Linked DNA regions of Cricetulus griseus. The protein of the gene in region 1 interacts with the protein of each later gene in a pairwise test. Links are inferred from orthologs where the notes say so. Each region holds a gene or a part of one and is shown in the gene's direction. Other genes may lie near its edges.

Region 1 (7,093 bases):
GATAAAGCTGTCCTTTCTATTTTCCACACCAGTTTTGAGAATCAGCTGGCCTCAGACATGTGGGTTTCTTTCTGGGTTCCTCATGCTGTTCCGTTGGTCTGTGTATATATTCTTGTGCCAATACCATGCTGTTTTTGTTACCACGACTCAGTGCTATATTTTGAAGCTAGACACTCCAGCTTTGCTCTTGGGACTCCTTTGTGCTTCCTTGGGAATTTTAGGTGGCTTTTTTTTTTTTTTTTGCTCTGGTGAGGATGTCATTGGTGCTCTGATGGGAACTACATTGGATCCGTAGACTGGAATTTTAGGTGGTTTTTTTATTTTCATCTGTGGTGAGGATGTCATTGGTGCTCTGATGGGAACTACATTGAATCTGAAGACTGCATTGAGTACAGCCAAGAGAACAAAGCTGGAGCTATTCTGCCGTGGGGTTTGTTTTGTCCTTGCTTTTTAAGAGGCATCAAGTTAGGTTGTGTATTTGAATCCTGTCTTCTTGACCTTATTATTTTTATACGAGCACTCATTGCTATAAAATTCCTTCTTAGTGATTTTTGCTCTGTGCCAAAGGTTTTAGCCCATTGTATATATATATGTGTGTGTGTGTTTTTTTAATTTTTAAAGAATTCTTAAGTTAGCATAGAAGATACCTGGTGTCACTGTGGGCATCTTTATATGTGTATATGTTATTCATGGGTTGTCTCATTGGTTCTTCTCTTCCTTGTGCCCCTCCCCATCCTAGGTTCCTTCCTCCCTCCTGTCAGTCCTCTTCTGCTTCCTCATCACAGTCACAGGTATTTCCATTTCTGTCTGTTTCAAGAGCATCTTAAATTCCCCATGCAGTGGGAGTACACTGTCCTGCCCCCATTCAGATACAGTTTTTAGTTCTCCTTACTGATTTATTGGCTCATCCCATCGTGACCAACAAAGATACAGGATATGATCTCATCCCTCAAGCATTTGTTAAGACTACTTTTGTGGCCCAACACAGTCTGCTTGAGAGACAATTCCCCCATGTGATGAAGAAAAGAGAAAACTGTGAACCGCACAGATGCTCAGAGGCCAAGCCAGTCTGTCTACACTTGGTCCTCAGCTCCGCCCTGCATGTGCTGTGACTGTAGCCCCTGCCTGTTCCCAAAGACAAGCAGACAATATCAGAGCACCTCACAGAACTATTAAGGAGGTTAAATGAGTTATACAATCCCAGCTGTAAGACCGCCCAACAGACTTGTGGCTCACCCTCTTCATGTCTGTCCTGCTGCTGACTGTAACTCTTAGGGCAACCTACAGCATTTTCTGTTAAAAGAAAAACTAACGTTTCTTTTTAAAGATTTATTGTTGGGGACCACAACATGATGTGATTCTTAAAGGCACTTGTGGCACAAGCCCAGTGGCCTGAGTTTAATCCCACAACTTCTCAAAGTTGTTCTCCGAGCTCCACATGCAGGCTCCTGCACATATACCCACACACACACCATACACACGATAATAGCAATAATGAAATCTATCGTGCTATCAGTCTTCCTGAATAATGCCAATTTAAAACAATGCCTGTTCAGGTCTTCTGCAAGTCCAGTCACAACTGAATGTTTTAAATAACTTGCATTAGGTTTTTCTCTGCGTTTTAACATTGAAGGCACTTTGTCTAAAGCATCTACCATGTGTGCACCACCCGTCTTCTGAGCCCATGTGACCGTTCCTTGTTTCCATAAACTTTCCTCATATTTGAGCAAACGATTTTTCTTTTCTTGTTTTCCTTTTTGGTGGGTTGGTTTGACAAGCTGCTTCATGGGAATTAGTTGCTTAGAATTTTTTTCTGAAAAGTCAAGGTTTTGAGTCTTTTTAAAAATACTTTTTATTGTGTTTCTAAATGCTCATCAAGCATTTCTGTGGTCCTACTATGACTATATATGTCTATCAATCATCATCACAAACAACAGTAAGATTTGTTTTTCATAATAGACAGACATGGTGGTGCAGGTCGGTAACCACTTGGGAGGCTGAGGCAATAGTATGGGGGTTAGGAGATAGTCTCTTATACATAGGAACTGGGGGCTAGCCTGAGCTACAGGATGAATTTGTCTCAAAAAAAAAAAAATTGGAGGAGGGAAGAAGGAAAGAGGAAGTGGTGGTAACATTGGCATTCATGTTGATCTAAGTGTATTTCTGTGGCTTCTCATTAGACCACAGGAAATTCTACACCGTCCATTGCACTGGCTACTTAAGAAGCTGGCCTTTGAATGTTGTTGGCATGGAGAAAGAGAGGGACAGTGTTAAAGACAGTGGTCCTCTTACCTGCCTTGTAGCCATGGGACGGTTACATCCATATGCTGTCCCTCAGAAGAGTGGCAAGATCAAAGTGAGGCCAACTGAGTTTGTGACCCGCTTTGCCACGAACGGAAAATTCGTCTACGTTGATCAAAGGTGAGCACTCAGGCTGTGGTGATGAGGAGCCCCGGGCCAGTTGAGGTTGTTTCAGGGGTGACTCGGTAGCTCTACAGGATTTTCCTTCTAATTGGGGCTTGAGGATAGTTTAAGTGGCATAAGGCTATGGTTGTTGGTCGTTTTGGTCAAGCCAGAGGGCAAACTTGGAAAAGCATTTCTTAGCAGTGGTGCTGAGGCTGGGCCTGCTCCATGGCCACTGTGTTGGCCACTGATGCCTTATAAGGGCATCAGCTGGACTTCATGGGGCCTCACCTGGGTGGCCTGTTTGGTGGCTCTGGTCTGTGGCTGGCGGGGACCAGGCAGTCCATAGGAGCCTAGTGGTCCACGTGACTAGCTCTTTCCCCGGGGCTGCTGCCTCAAAGTCACACCTGTGCTGGAGCTGCTGGATTCTGGGAGCCATCACCTTCAGTAAGTGCCATGCTAATTTTCTGTTTCAAAACCAGGGCAACAGCAATTTTAGGATACCTGCCTCAGGAACTTTTGGGAACCTCATGTTATGAATATTTTCATCAAGATGACCACAGCAATTTGACTGTCAAGCACAAAGCAGGTGGGTAATTCATCGAGAGCATAATTTAAAATGACAACTTCAGCCAGATGTGATGGATCACACTCAAAATCTCAGGACTTGGGAGGTGGCAGTAGAAGGATCAGGAGTTCCAGGCTAGCCTGAGCTATGTATCAAATCCCTATGTAAATAAATAAATAAGTGTCATTGTTATTGTAGTATCAACTCTCAATCTCTCGTTCCTTATGAAACCCCAAACTGGAGTTGATTCACAAGGCACTGGTTTTGGGTTTGGTGTTTGCTTTTGTTCTGGGATTCAGTACGGGCCCCTGGCTGGCCTAGATCCAGCAGCTACCCTCTTCGCACAAAGCCTCCCAAGGGCCGGGATTCCAGGCAGGAACCACCACACCTGGCTTGAGGTCGTTTCATTCTAAAGGCTGCTCTGCTGATCGCATCTTTTCTTGCGAAGTTCTGCAGAGTAAGGAGAAAATACTTACAGACTCGTATAAATTCCGCGTGAAGGATGGGTCCTTCGTAACCCTGAAGAGTCAGTGGTTCAGCTTCACCAACCCTTGGACCAAAGAGCTGGAGTACATCGTGTCTATCAACACGCTGGTTTTGTGAGTAGTTCTCTGTAACGATAACTCTTTCCGCCAGCCACCTGTGTTATGCCGCCACGTTAGGGCCCCCAAATAACACACAGAGACTTAATATTATTTACAATGCTGCTGGCCAATGACTAAGATTTCTTATTTTCTAGCTCTGTCTTAAGTATCAACCATAACCATTAATCTATATATTTTATAAAGACTTATCTTCTCAAGGACACCAGCGGCATGCATCCTCTTCCTGGGGATCACATGGTGACCCCTCTTTATTACGTTTCCCAGAATCCTCCTTCTTTCCTAGTCCTGCCTATCTTGCTTTCCTATTGGTCAACAGTGTTTTATTCATCAACCAATAAGACAAATACATATACAGAAGGACTTGCCCCATCAGTTCTTTGTCTTCTTATTTGTCCTACTTTCTTTTTTTTCTTTCTTTTTTTTTTTTTTTTTTTTCGAGACAGGGTTTCTCTGTGTAGCTTTGGAGCCTATCCTGGCACTCGCTCTGGAGACCAGGCTGGCCTCAAACTCACAGAGATCCGCCTGCCTCTGCCTCCAGAGTGCTGGGATTAAAGGCGTGCGCCACCAACACCCAGCAGCTTTGTCCTACTTTCAAGGGAGTGCCTCTGCTTTCCTTCAGAAGCCACCAAAACTTCATGGTCCTCTGGCTGTGCGGCAGCTCAGTTTGGGGATGGGTGCCAGGAGCCTGCACGGATGCCAGAATGCTTTGATCTCCCATATCCATCCTCAGAGCCTGTCATCATTAGTTACAACTCCTGGGGCAAAGTAAAGTCATTAAATGGCTGTTGTGCCCGATCATTTAGGAATAATGACAAGAAAAAAGTCTCTGTGTTTAGGAAAGATTTGGGTTTTCCTCCTCCAGTATTTTTGGTCCACAATTAGTGATCCCACAGTCAAACCCTGAGTCTGTGGTGGCCACTGGTGCCTGAGAATTTTCTTTGTTCTTCATTGATGTTAAGTTGTTCAAGTTAAGCTGACAGTTCGCCCTTTGTAATCTACCCCTTTCGTGCTTGATATAATGTCTGGTGGTAAAGGTAGGTAGGTATGGTTTGCACACCTGTGATCCTGGCACCTGGGAAGTAGAGGCAGGAGGATGAGAAACTCAAAGCTATCGTTGGCTACGAAGGGAGTCTGAGGCCAGCCTAGACTACATGAGACCTTGTCTCAAAACAACAGCAACAACAGTTCCCCAAAAACCACCACCCCAAAAACCAGAAGACGAAGAACCACTGACTCAATGGTAGAGTATTTGCCTAACGTGTGTAGGGAGTGATCCTGATTACAAGCACTGCTGACCACGCCTACTTGGGCTCCGTCACAGGTACTTAAGAGGGGTTTAAGAGCCAGGGGGGACAAGCACGTGGGTCTCTCGCTAGGCTGAGCTGACTGGGAAGCATTTCTGGGTCCATCCTGCTCAGGTGGAAACCTGGTCACTGGTTCCCTTACGTGAGTATTTTCCCCTAATAAACTACTGGTTATTACCTATCTCTGACTGCACTATGTAATCATCAATACAAGTGCATGACCCTGGGTTCAGTTTCCCCAGCACAGGTGGGGAGAGGGCCAGGCACACACATTTAATGTCAGTACTAAGGAAGAAGAGGCAGGCAGGTCTCTGAGTTCCAGGTCAACCTGGTCTACATAGCATGGGCAGGCCAGCCAGGACCCTGTCTTGAAACAAAAACAAAACAAAAAAGAAAAGAAAGATGTATCTTCTATGCCTGTGGCCAGTACTGCCACCAAGTAGCAGAAATCTGGCCTTGTCTTCAGGTGAAGTGCCTACCTTTAGCCAGCTCAGCTTAGCCTAAGCTTCGTTGCTTTGCTAAGTTTATAAGCGGGTGTAAGGGTCACTGTTGTGGGATATTTTCACCCTCGGACACTGCCAAGACTGCCAGTGAAGTTGACTTTGAATCAGAGGGTGGAGCTAGCTACTAGCTGACCAAAATTAGCCATGACCTATGACATAGAGAGAGAGACAGGAAGTAGCAGGGAGGGCCTGATGGGGGCAGGAGAACGAGAAGGCCGCTGGTCACTTCTCCACTGTTTCTCTGATCAATCAGGCTCTTACCCTGATATCTGACTCTGAGTTTTTGTTGATAAAGATAATTACATAAACACTTCATGTCACACCAGTTCCGTTTGCTTCTCTATCACATGTAGTTTAAACATCACCAGGAGGTGAGTGTGCCCGTGTTCCCTGTCAGCCATCCCAGTACAGCTGTGAACCTTAGCACTGGATTGGGAGCCGAGCACCATCACTGTGAAACCGACCAGTGGGGCATTTGGCTCAGATCCCAGTCTTAGCTGACGGTGTGAACAATAAAATACTGATGAGTGGAAACTGGCAGATCAAACACACGGAGCCAGTGCAGAGCTTCATTGGTTCCCTCACCTCAGAGAATGTCACCTATGCTGTTTCTGACTTGCAGGGGGCGCAGTGAGGCTGGTGCACCATCCTTACTTCCCTGCAGCAGCCAGTCCTCAGAAGGTAAGCCGGGGCCTCGGGTCGGGGTTGCAGCTCAGATGCATCGTCCAGCATGTGTTTTATGAAGATGTGGTTTTCCTTCTAAGAGAAGGGATTCCCAGGGGAGGTGAGAAGACAGCTGGACTGGACAGACATCGTGCCTTTGGTTACAGGAGAAGGAGGCCAAGGCAGGAGAGACGACCCAGTGTGTCCAGGCCCTTGTCACGTACAGAGAGTGACCTGAGTTCAACCCCCAAGACACACAAGGATGGCAGTGGACTGAGATCACAGTGCTGTCCTCTGAACTCCACACCATACACATGCATCATACGTGTACATGTCATATACACACGCATAAGCATATAAACACCATCATACATATACACGTCAAACACACATACATTATACACATGGACACACATCACACACAGACACATCACACATGTGTACACAAACATCATGTACACATTATACATTTGTACATACATTTCATACACACATTATATATTTGTACACACACATCATACATACATATAAACATATACATATAAACATATACACACAAACATACATATAAATACAAACATATATCATGCATGTGCACACACATTATATGCACATACAATATACACATATATACAAGTACATACATACACACATTATATGTACATACATATGTCATACAATATACACATGTATACACAAATACATAAAAAACTCCCAAGGGTCTGTGAGATAGCTCAGCAGGTAAAGGTTCTTGCCTCCAAACCTGACAACCTGCGTTCAGTTTCCAGAATAGACTCCCACACATGGTCCTCTGACCTCCAAGTGTGTGCTGTAGCATGTGTGCAGCCACTCACATACATTATTTACACACGAAATAATGAATAAGAGACTATGTTCGGAGGGCACATAGATCCCATAGGGAACTTTCAAGAACGCCCCGCTATTCCCTTCAGCTGTCCCAGCACCTGGTTCATACCTCCACTCTAGGGGAACATGGTACCACACGTAAGTAGTTGCCCACGTGACTGGTTTCCTACCAGTGGAGTT
Region 2 (7,560 bases), on another chromosome or scaffold:
CCAGTTTCCTAGAAATGTCAAAGAAACTGCACCTGTGAAGTCTCAACAATATGACTGCCTAAACAAGACACCAATAGACATGCTAATACAGAAGGGGTAAATCTCATGGGGCCTCAACCCTTGACAAAAAACTACAGGCAACTAAGGAATGCTAAAATTGGGGAAAAACAGCCTTCCCAGAGAAGAGCCCCTAAACTGGTTATCCAATATCAAGTGTCAAGAGCCCTGAAATCATATCCATATGGGTAACATTATACAAACTAAGTAGGCTGTATTTATATATTTAGGAATGTATACACATAACACAAATTAGAGAAATAGAGGCCATGAGTTTGAGAGAGAGCAAGGTGTGGATCATGGGAAGGACTGCAGGGAAGAAAGGGAAGGGGGTAGATGATGTAATTAAATTTTAATTACAAAAAATTGAAGTGGCCAATACTTGACATGTAATTTACATAGCAGATAGTGTTAATACACAATTGCCTCTAATTGTCCTATGAGCTGAAACTGTTATCCTCATTTTACAGATGAAGAACTTCACGGGGAAATCAGCTGAAAAGACAATTGGAAACAGTTTAAACAACAGCAAGGGCAAGGCACATGGGAGTTGAGAGGACACACAACTAACAAATGTGGTGTTTAAGGCAATAGTTTAGAATTGGGAACCTAGATTTAAGATTTATGAAATTCTGAGACAAAGTTTTTGTTTGATGGAAACAAAGAATGTTAAAGTTGGAGAAAAAGAAAAGTTTTCCCCCCTCCCTGGAGAGAATATGGGGGGGGTTGTAAACTGACCTGTGGGAAATACTCAAACCGTGGCAGAGGACTGAGCAGAAAAATCACGGGATTTTCATCAGGTCTTGGTAAATAATTAAACACAGAATGTGAGGAGTCATAGGTAACTAAAAGGACAATGAAATCATTAAAGGGGGCAAAGGTCATTTTGAAGATGTATGTACTAGAGAAGATTGAATGTAAAAAAGGACTTCCTCTAGACTAAAACTGAAACATTCAACCTAGGAAAAGTATTCAGGCTCCCTTGTCTGGCTGCAACCTAGGAACTTCATCAGCATGATTAACCTACTTCTTTTTTTTTTTTTTTTTTTACTACCAGTGATCAAGACGCTAAGTAGTCTGTGACAAAAAAGCTCTCATTGGTTTAAGCAATAAAGAAAATACATTCAGGAGTGTATTTATTACTTTAACTGAAACTTCCTGAGGAATCAATCTAGCCCCTAAAGTCGGACATCAAGCCTCTAGGCTACACTTCCCCCTTTGAATCTGCTTTTTTTTTTTTTTTTTCCCCCTTCGAGGTGCCTTCTTTTTCATTAGTCACACATGGAAAGGCTTTATTCTTCCAGATTCAAGTCCATTGGAAAGCAGTCCTTCTTGGTAGTAACTGCGAAGTGTCCTGCCTGGACCACAGGGAATGAATGGAGAATGGGTGAATTCAACTAAAATGACCCAGAGCAGCAGCTGGATTCTGAACAAAATGTGCAGTAAGAGCCTTTCAATGGCGAAGTAACAAAACAGGCACCAAGGAAAAGTTCTCGGGACAGAGTCTGGCTACGAAGCCCAGATTAGCCGGGAATTTGAAGATTCTCTTTTTTCAGCCTTCTCGGAGAGTACGCACCCAAATTCTCCGGTTTTGAAGTTCTTTTATTCTGTGTATACACCAAGAATTTGTTTCATTCTTACTGGACATAACCCTGGAGAGAGGATTTTGGAGCTAAAGAGTACAGGTTTATTTACTGCCTTCTGTTTCATGTCCAAATTGATTTTTTAAAAGAAATTACTAGGAACTGGGGGGGGGAGGGTCTAAAGGCTTTTTTTCCCCCAATAATTAGGGTGCAGCGGCCACGAAACCAGTGTAATCTAGGGTCCCTGTTCATCCTGGGAGCCACCCTCATCTTTTACTGTTGTCTCTTATCTTTTCATAAAAGGAGCAAACACATTCCGACCTTTTGCAGCCGAGGTCACTTGGGTTGCCCATGCCCACCTACAGGGAGCGGCGGGGAAACCGAGTCCCCCGCAGTCGACGCACCTCCAGGAGAGGAAGCCGACCTGTTCCAAGTCGGGTTGGAGAAGTTTAACTTGGCGTCAGTTAAGCTCTTTGCTTTTCAAGAGACCGAGGCCCTCGTCGGGCCGGTGGCTCCCACAGGAAGAGAGCGCTGCATCCCAGGGAGCCCAGAGCCTCCCAAACCTCTGCGGGCGGCCGCACCCTCCGCCAGGCCCCGCCTCCCGGCCTGCGTGGGGGGGGGAGGGGACCCCGGGGCATCCCCGCTTCCCTCTGCGGCTGCAGAACGAGCACACGCCGGCCCGCAGGAGTGGAGTTTCCTCGGGCGCCTGGGATTCCGTGGCGCAGCTCCGCGCGGCGCGGCGCGGCTCGGGGCTGCCTAACGGGGAAAGTCGCATGCGCGCCCGGACGCTCCGGGGAAGACGGCCGCGAGGGGAGGGGCGAGTGCAGAGCCCGACCGGCCGCGGAGCCCCGGGTCCACGACGCATGCGCCGGGAGGGAGCACAATCACGGACTCGGCCGGCGGCTACCGGCTGGAGAGAGGAAACCCCGGCCGGCGAGAGCGCGAAGGAAATCTGGCCGCCGGCGCGCGCGCGCGCTCCCGGTGAGTGCGCCCCACAGGGTGGGCCTCGGTTGGACGCGCGGCGGACGGCTGGCCTCGGCGGCGCATGCGTGCTTCCGGAGCCGGTGGAGGAGGGGAAGACCGGGAGGGGGAGGAGCGCGGCAGTAGCGGCGAATTTGGAGGGGTGGGTTGGGGGCGCGCACTGGCCGCCCTAGGTGCTGCTGGCTCCCGGAGCCGCGGCGTTTCCCCGGTCGTTGCGGCCTGGCAGTCGCGAGTCCCCGCCGCCAGAGTCCCGGGTGGGGGAGGGAGGAAGCCAAAGCCTCAAGCGGCCACACGGTGAGGACACGGGCGGGCGTGCGGGCGGGCGCGGGGGGCGCTGTGTGGGGCCGGGGGTGGGGGCGGCTGCGGCCAGGCCGGGAGGCGGGAGCAGCGGCCGGGGTGGGGCGGCTAGCAGAACGCAGAGCCCCGGGGAGTCGCACTCCGCTGGGCCTGTGTGAGGTGTCGGCGGGCCGCCGGGGTTACCTGCGGGGCAGGGGGGCGCGGCGGGTTCTGCGACCCGGGAGGCGCCCGGGCCGTAGCGCGCTCGAGGCTGGGCGCGGGGGGCAGGCCGAGTCGGCCGGCGAGAGGGCTCGCGCCCGGGACCCGCTAGGCCTTGTGACCCACTTTATTCCTGTCACCACTCGGGCACGTTTGGAGCGGCGCCCAATGGGGCGATGGGGCGGCCAGCTCCTCCGCCGAGCCCCCGCCTTCGCGGCGGCCGGCGCGCGCCGCGCTCCGAGGTCCGAGCGGCCGCCGCTGCCGCCCAGGGCTGGTTCCGTTAGTGGTCGTGGTTCCGGGGCTTGGACCGCGGGTTGCGCTGGGCCCCGGGCATCCGACCGGCTGCTCTCGGCTTGCGGAGCTGACCACCCTGGACGTGGCCGTGGCTCGACCGGTACGCAGCGCCACGAAGTTTATGTTCCTTTGGGTGTTTTCTGCTTCCGAACAAGTCCTGAGTAGTCAACAAGACTACCCTGAAAGATGAAGAGCTTTGGCCTCTGCCCTGGCAGATGACAGATCAGGTTGTTGGGTTTTGGTATTAGAATGCCGTACCCCTACAAACTGAAGGCTTTGTAGGTGCTTTTAAGACGACAGCAACAAACCCCGGTGTTTTCTTTTTCAGTGAAAGAAAAGCACAAGAAGAAACTTTTATGGGCATTGTTGATTTGACTACGGCGCCGATCCCCGAAATCACAGGAAAGGTAATTTCACTCGATTGCACCGTTACAACTTTCAGAGAGATTAGAGAAGAAAAATTGTAGAACATCCATTTTGTGGCTGATTGGAAAGAAATTCTTAGTAAGATATAACTTAGAGAATGGCTGTCTCTAAATTATAATTATAAATATGGTTTAAAATCTTAGGGGAAAGAAACCTTATGTGCCAAGGAGTTTGCTGAGTGTCATTGGTTAGTTTTCAGGACTAGCCACGATGACCTATGAAAAAAGAACGGCACAAAACTTTGACATAAAGTGAAAACAAGAAATAGAATGGTGTGGATTGGGTGCTGTTTTATGTGTTAAGGAAGAGTGTAATAGCTATAAAATTTGTATTTCTCTTCTGTATAAAGGAATCCTAGAATAATACTAGAAAACCAATAATTATGGGAGAGGGAGAAGTGGTTTGAAGAGGAAAGGGGGGGAAAATGAAATGTTTTATGTGTTATCTGTAGTATTTTTTATTTTATGGATTCATAAACAACAAAAATTGCTTAAGATAGTTTATATGCCATTGGTTTCCTATTTTGTAGGGAATTTTGATCATTTTCAGTATTATTTCTTTTAAAATTTGAAGGAATAAACCGAAGGAAAGTTTAGGATGGATTTGCTAGCTCTTTCCACTTTAAGAAGTTGAAGTTACAGATGAATTCAAAACCACAAAGGTTGTTATTTGCCTTGCTGACACTTCGTGATAACTGCATTTGGTATTACAATTGGATCATGTGCTTTGATAGTGTAGTGTCTCCCTTTTAGTTCTTCAGGAACTATAGTTCATATTTTTTTCCTTTTGTCGATCCCTACCTCACAGTTTGAACACTATATTTACAATGATAATAAACTAGATTGTTTAGCATAATGTTTCTGGTGGGAATCTATTATTTCCTTTAAGGAAGTCAGACATGAACCCCAGTGTGTGTGTGTGTGTGTGAGAGAGAGAGAGAGAGAGGCAGAGAGAGAGAGAGAGAGAGAGAGAGAGAGAGAGAGAGAGAGAGAGAGAGAGATTATGGAAAATAAAATTCAGAATCAAATGTAAGAAATTAAGCATTTTTATGGTTACAGATTGTGTAAACATATAGTAATGATTTTTCTAGCTTTGCCAGCCTAACCTTTTCAGCAAGGTTAAGGTTGAAAGGGTGTTGTGAGATTGAGTACAATTTTAGGGAGGGAATACTCAAAAACTCCCTCTAGTGACAATAATATTATATGGAAACTAGTTGCTGTACTCACTTTTACTAATATTATTAGTATTTTTTATTTTGTAGGACAGGATATATGTGTTGCTTCTGTTTGTTGCAGGTATATAATAGTCACTCTACTGCACAATGGCATTTATTTTTCATTTGAACTTCATGTATGTAGATCTTTCCAATCTTTTGTTTGTTTGTTTCTTTCTTTCTTTGTTTCTTTTTGGTTTTTTGAGACAGGGTTTTTCTGTGGCTTTGGAGGCTGTCCTGCAACTTGCTCTGTAGACCAGACTGGTCTTGAACTCACAGAGATCTGCTTGCCTCTGCCTCCCAAGTGCTGGGACTAAAGGCGTGCGCCACCACCGCCTGGCTGATCTTTCCAATCTTTTAGCCAGATAAGTCACATAAGTAAAGGCTGCCTTCCATATTTGTAGTTGTCGAGACAGAGTCATGCTGTTTGTAGCCGGGCTGTCCTGAAACTTACTGTGTACTCCAGGCTGGCCTTGAATTCAGCATAGTCCTCCTGCTGCAGCTTCCTACGCACTAGGATTTTAGGTGTGTGCCATCACACTGGATATACCTTTCTACTTTACCTCATACTTTTCTCCAAAAGTAAGTATTAACAAGTGGATGAGTAGCTTTCTACATCTTTTTCTGTGGATTTATAAGGATGTCCATTTTAGCCTTAAAAATTGAATGTTGAGCTTTTTATGGTGGCTTTTTGTGGGGTTGTTGAGTATGTAGTCCAGACTGGTCAGAAAGTAGAGAACCTCCTACCTCAGTCTTTTGAATGTTCAGGTTATGCTTGGCCATTATTGAGTTCTTCTTGAATGATTGATTGTTTTGCCAGTTTGCCTCTACTGTACCCCAACCCCAGGATAGAAATGACTTAGAATATGTCAGAAAGTTTCAAAATGTGATATAAACCTTAGGGCATAATCTCTTATTCCATCCCCAACATTGAGGTACTAGTTGGTATGAAGTCATTTGCAGTTTGGGGGGAGGTCTAACTGATGTGAATTTAGCACAGAGACTTAAACTTTAACATTTCTTATAGCACTCTTAAAGGTCAGATTGTATGGGCCCTTGAGGGTGACTAGGCATCTCAGCCTTCTGACTAGTTAAGAAAGAAGAGAACAGAAGAACAGAAAGCTCACTCAGCCTCTCTCCTTGGTGTGAAGGAGCCAACTGCAGTCGTACAGCAGGTATCTCAGAGATGGGTGCTGTCCATCTGTTTATGTCACTTAGCTAAGCTTTCCCACTGCAGATAGCCTTTTGCTGCTTTATCTAATGATTATCAATTACTTACACATTGATTTGAAGGTTGTTAGAAATATGATTTGTCAGTGAACTGCTGTCTGTTAGGCAGGGTTTTGTTAATAATAAAAGAAAGTTGTGCTTTTCTTACTCTTCCCTCAGAGCACTACATTAAATGCTTCCTCTCCCTATTTGTACTTACAGTGCTGTGGTAGGCAAACTATTTATTTGCTCTGAATGTTTTAATAAAACATAGGAGCAAATTATTTTTAAAAGTTAGACATTTTATAGCAAAACTATCTTTGTGACTGTTTTCTTAAAGTACTTGCATCGTGTTAAGCATCTTTATTGAAGTAAGGCATCAATCAGCTAACTTGAGCTTTAAATTGTTGGTATAGTTGAACGGATTATCAACCTAACACTATTAAGTGTAAGAACAATTTAATTCTTACTAATTGGCTTAATTACATAATGGTATTTATAAATTGCTTTACAACCATTTTTAATAGCCCTGATATATGTAATTTCCATGAATTAAGTGGATAAAGAAATTCTGTTTTCTCCATGCTTTACTCTGCAAATATTAAATTACCTAAACAACTTATTCTCACAATTTTAATTCTAAGTTATCATGTTGGTTGTGTAATCTACAAAGAAATACTTTTGCTTATTATTTTAAGTCTGTCCTGTCACTCTACAAAGAGAAATTATTTATAAAGAGTGATTTTTTGCTATTACTTTAGTTTTTTTGTTTGTTTGCTTTTGTTTTTCCGAAACAGGGTTTCTCTGTGTAGCTTTGGAGTCTATCCTGGCACTCGCTCTGGAGATCAGGCTGGCCTCGAACTCCCAGAGATCCGCCTGCCTCTGCCTCCTGAGTGCTGGGACTAAAGGCATGCACCACTAACACCTGGCTACTTTTGATTTTTTTAAAAGGACTTTTTTAAAATTTTATTTTGTGTGTTTGGATGTTTTGTCTGCATGTATTTCTGTGCACCATATGAGTAGGGGCTCTCTTGGGAGGGCAGAAGAGTGTCAGGTCCCCTGGAACTGGAGTTACAGACAGTTGTGAGCTGCCATGTAGGTGCTGGGAATTGGACCCATTTCCTCTGGAAGAGCAGTCAGTGCTCTTAACCACTGAACCTTCTCTCCATTGCCTAAAGGATTTTTTATTTCTTTAAAAAAATGCTCTGTATTTTAAATATTTAATTTTTTTGGACAAAATCCCTTTTTATTTTTATTTTCTTTTATGGTGAGTGATGGAATCAAAAGTGGATACCACCATGC

What was found. The genes of interacting proteins can lie anywhere in the genome.
Region 2: the proteins of Arntl2 (region 1) and Clock interact in binary tests that used the Homo sapiens proteins (3 or more experiments, as listed by UniProt). The link is inferred for Cricetulus griseus from reciprocal best matches to the Homo sapiens genes BMAL2 and CLOCK.

Annotation. Positions count from the first base shown.
Region 1 is NC_048601.1:2,894,586-2,901,678, reverse strand, and holds part of Arntl2 (aryl hydrocarbon receptor nuclear translocator-like protein 2), read left to right. Parts: intron 1-2,180; coding exon 2,181-2,421; intron 2,422-2,885; coding exon 2,886-2,992; intron 2,993-3,419; coding exon 3,420-3,570; intron 3,571-6,005; coding exon 6,006-6,064; intron 6,065-7,093. UniProt on the Homo sapiens protein: Transcriptional activator which forms a core component of the circadian clock.
Region 2 is NW_023276807.1:142,733,239-142,740,798, reverse strand, and holds the start of Clock (circadian locomoter output cycles protein kaput), read left to right. Parts: upstream 1-2,757; 5' UTR 2,758-2,915; intron 2,916-3,492; exon of another isoform or gene 3,493-3,510; intron 3,511-3,738; 5' UTR 3,739-3,817; intron 3,818-6,076; exon of another isoform or gene 6,077-6,224; intron 6,225-7,560. Other genes in the region: collagen alpha-1(I) chain-like, read right to left, coding at 2,101-2,505. UniProt on the Homo sapiens protein: Transcriptional activator which forms a core component of the circadian clock.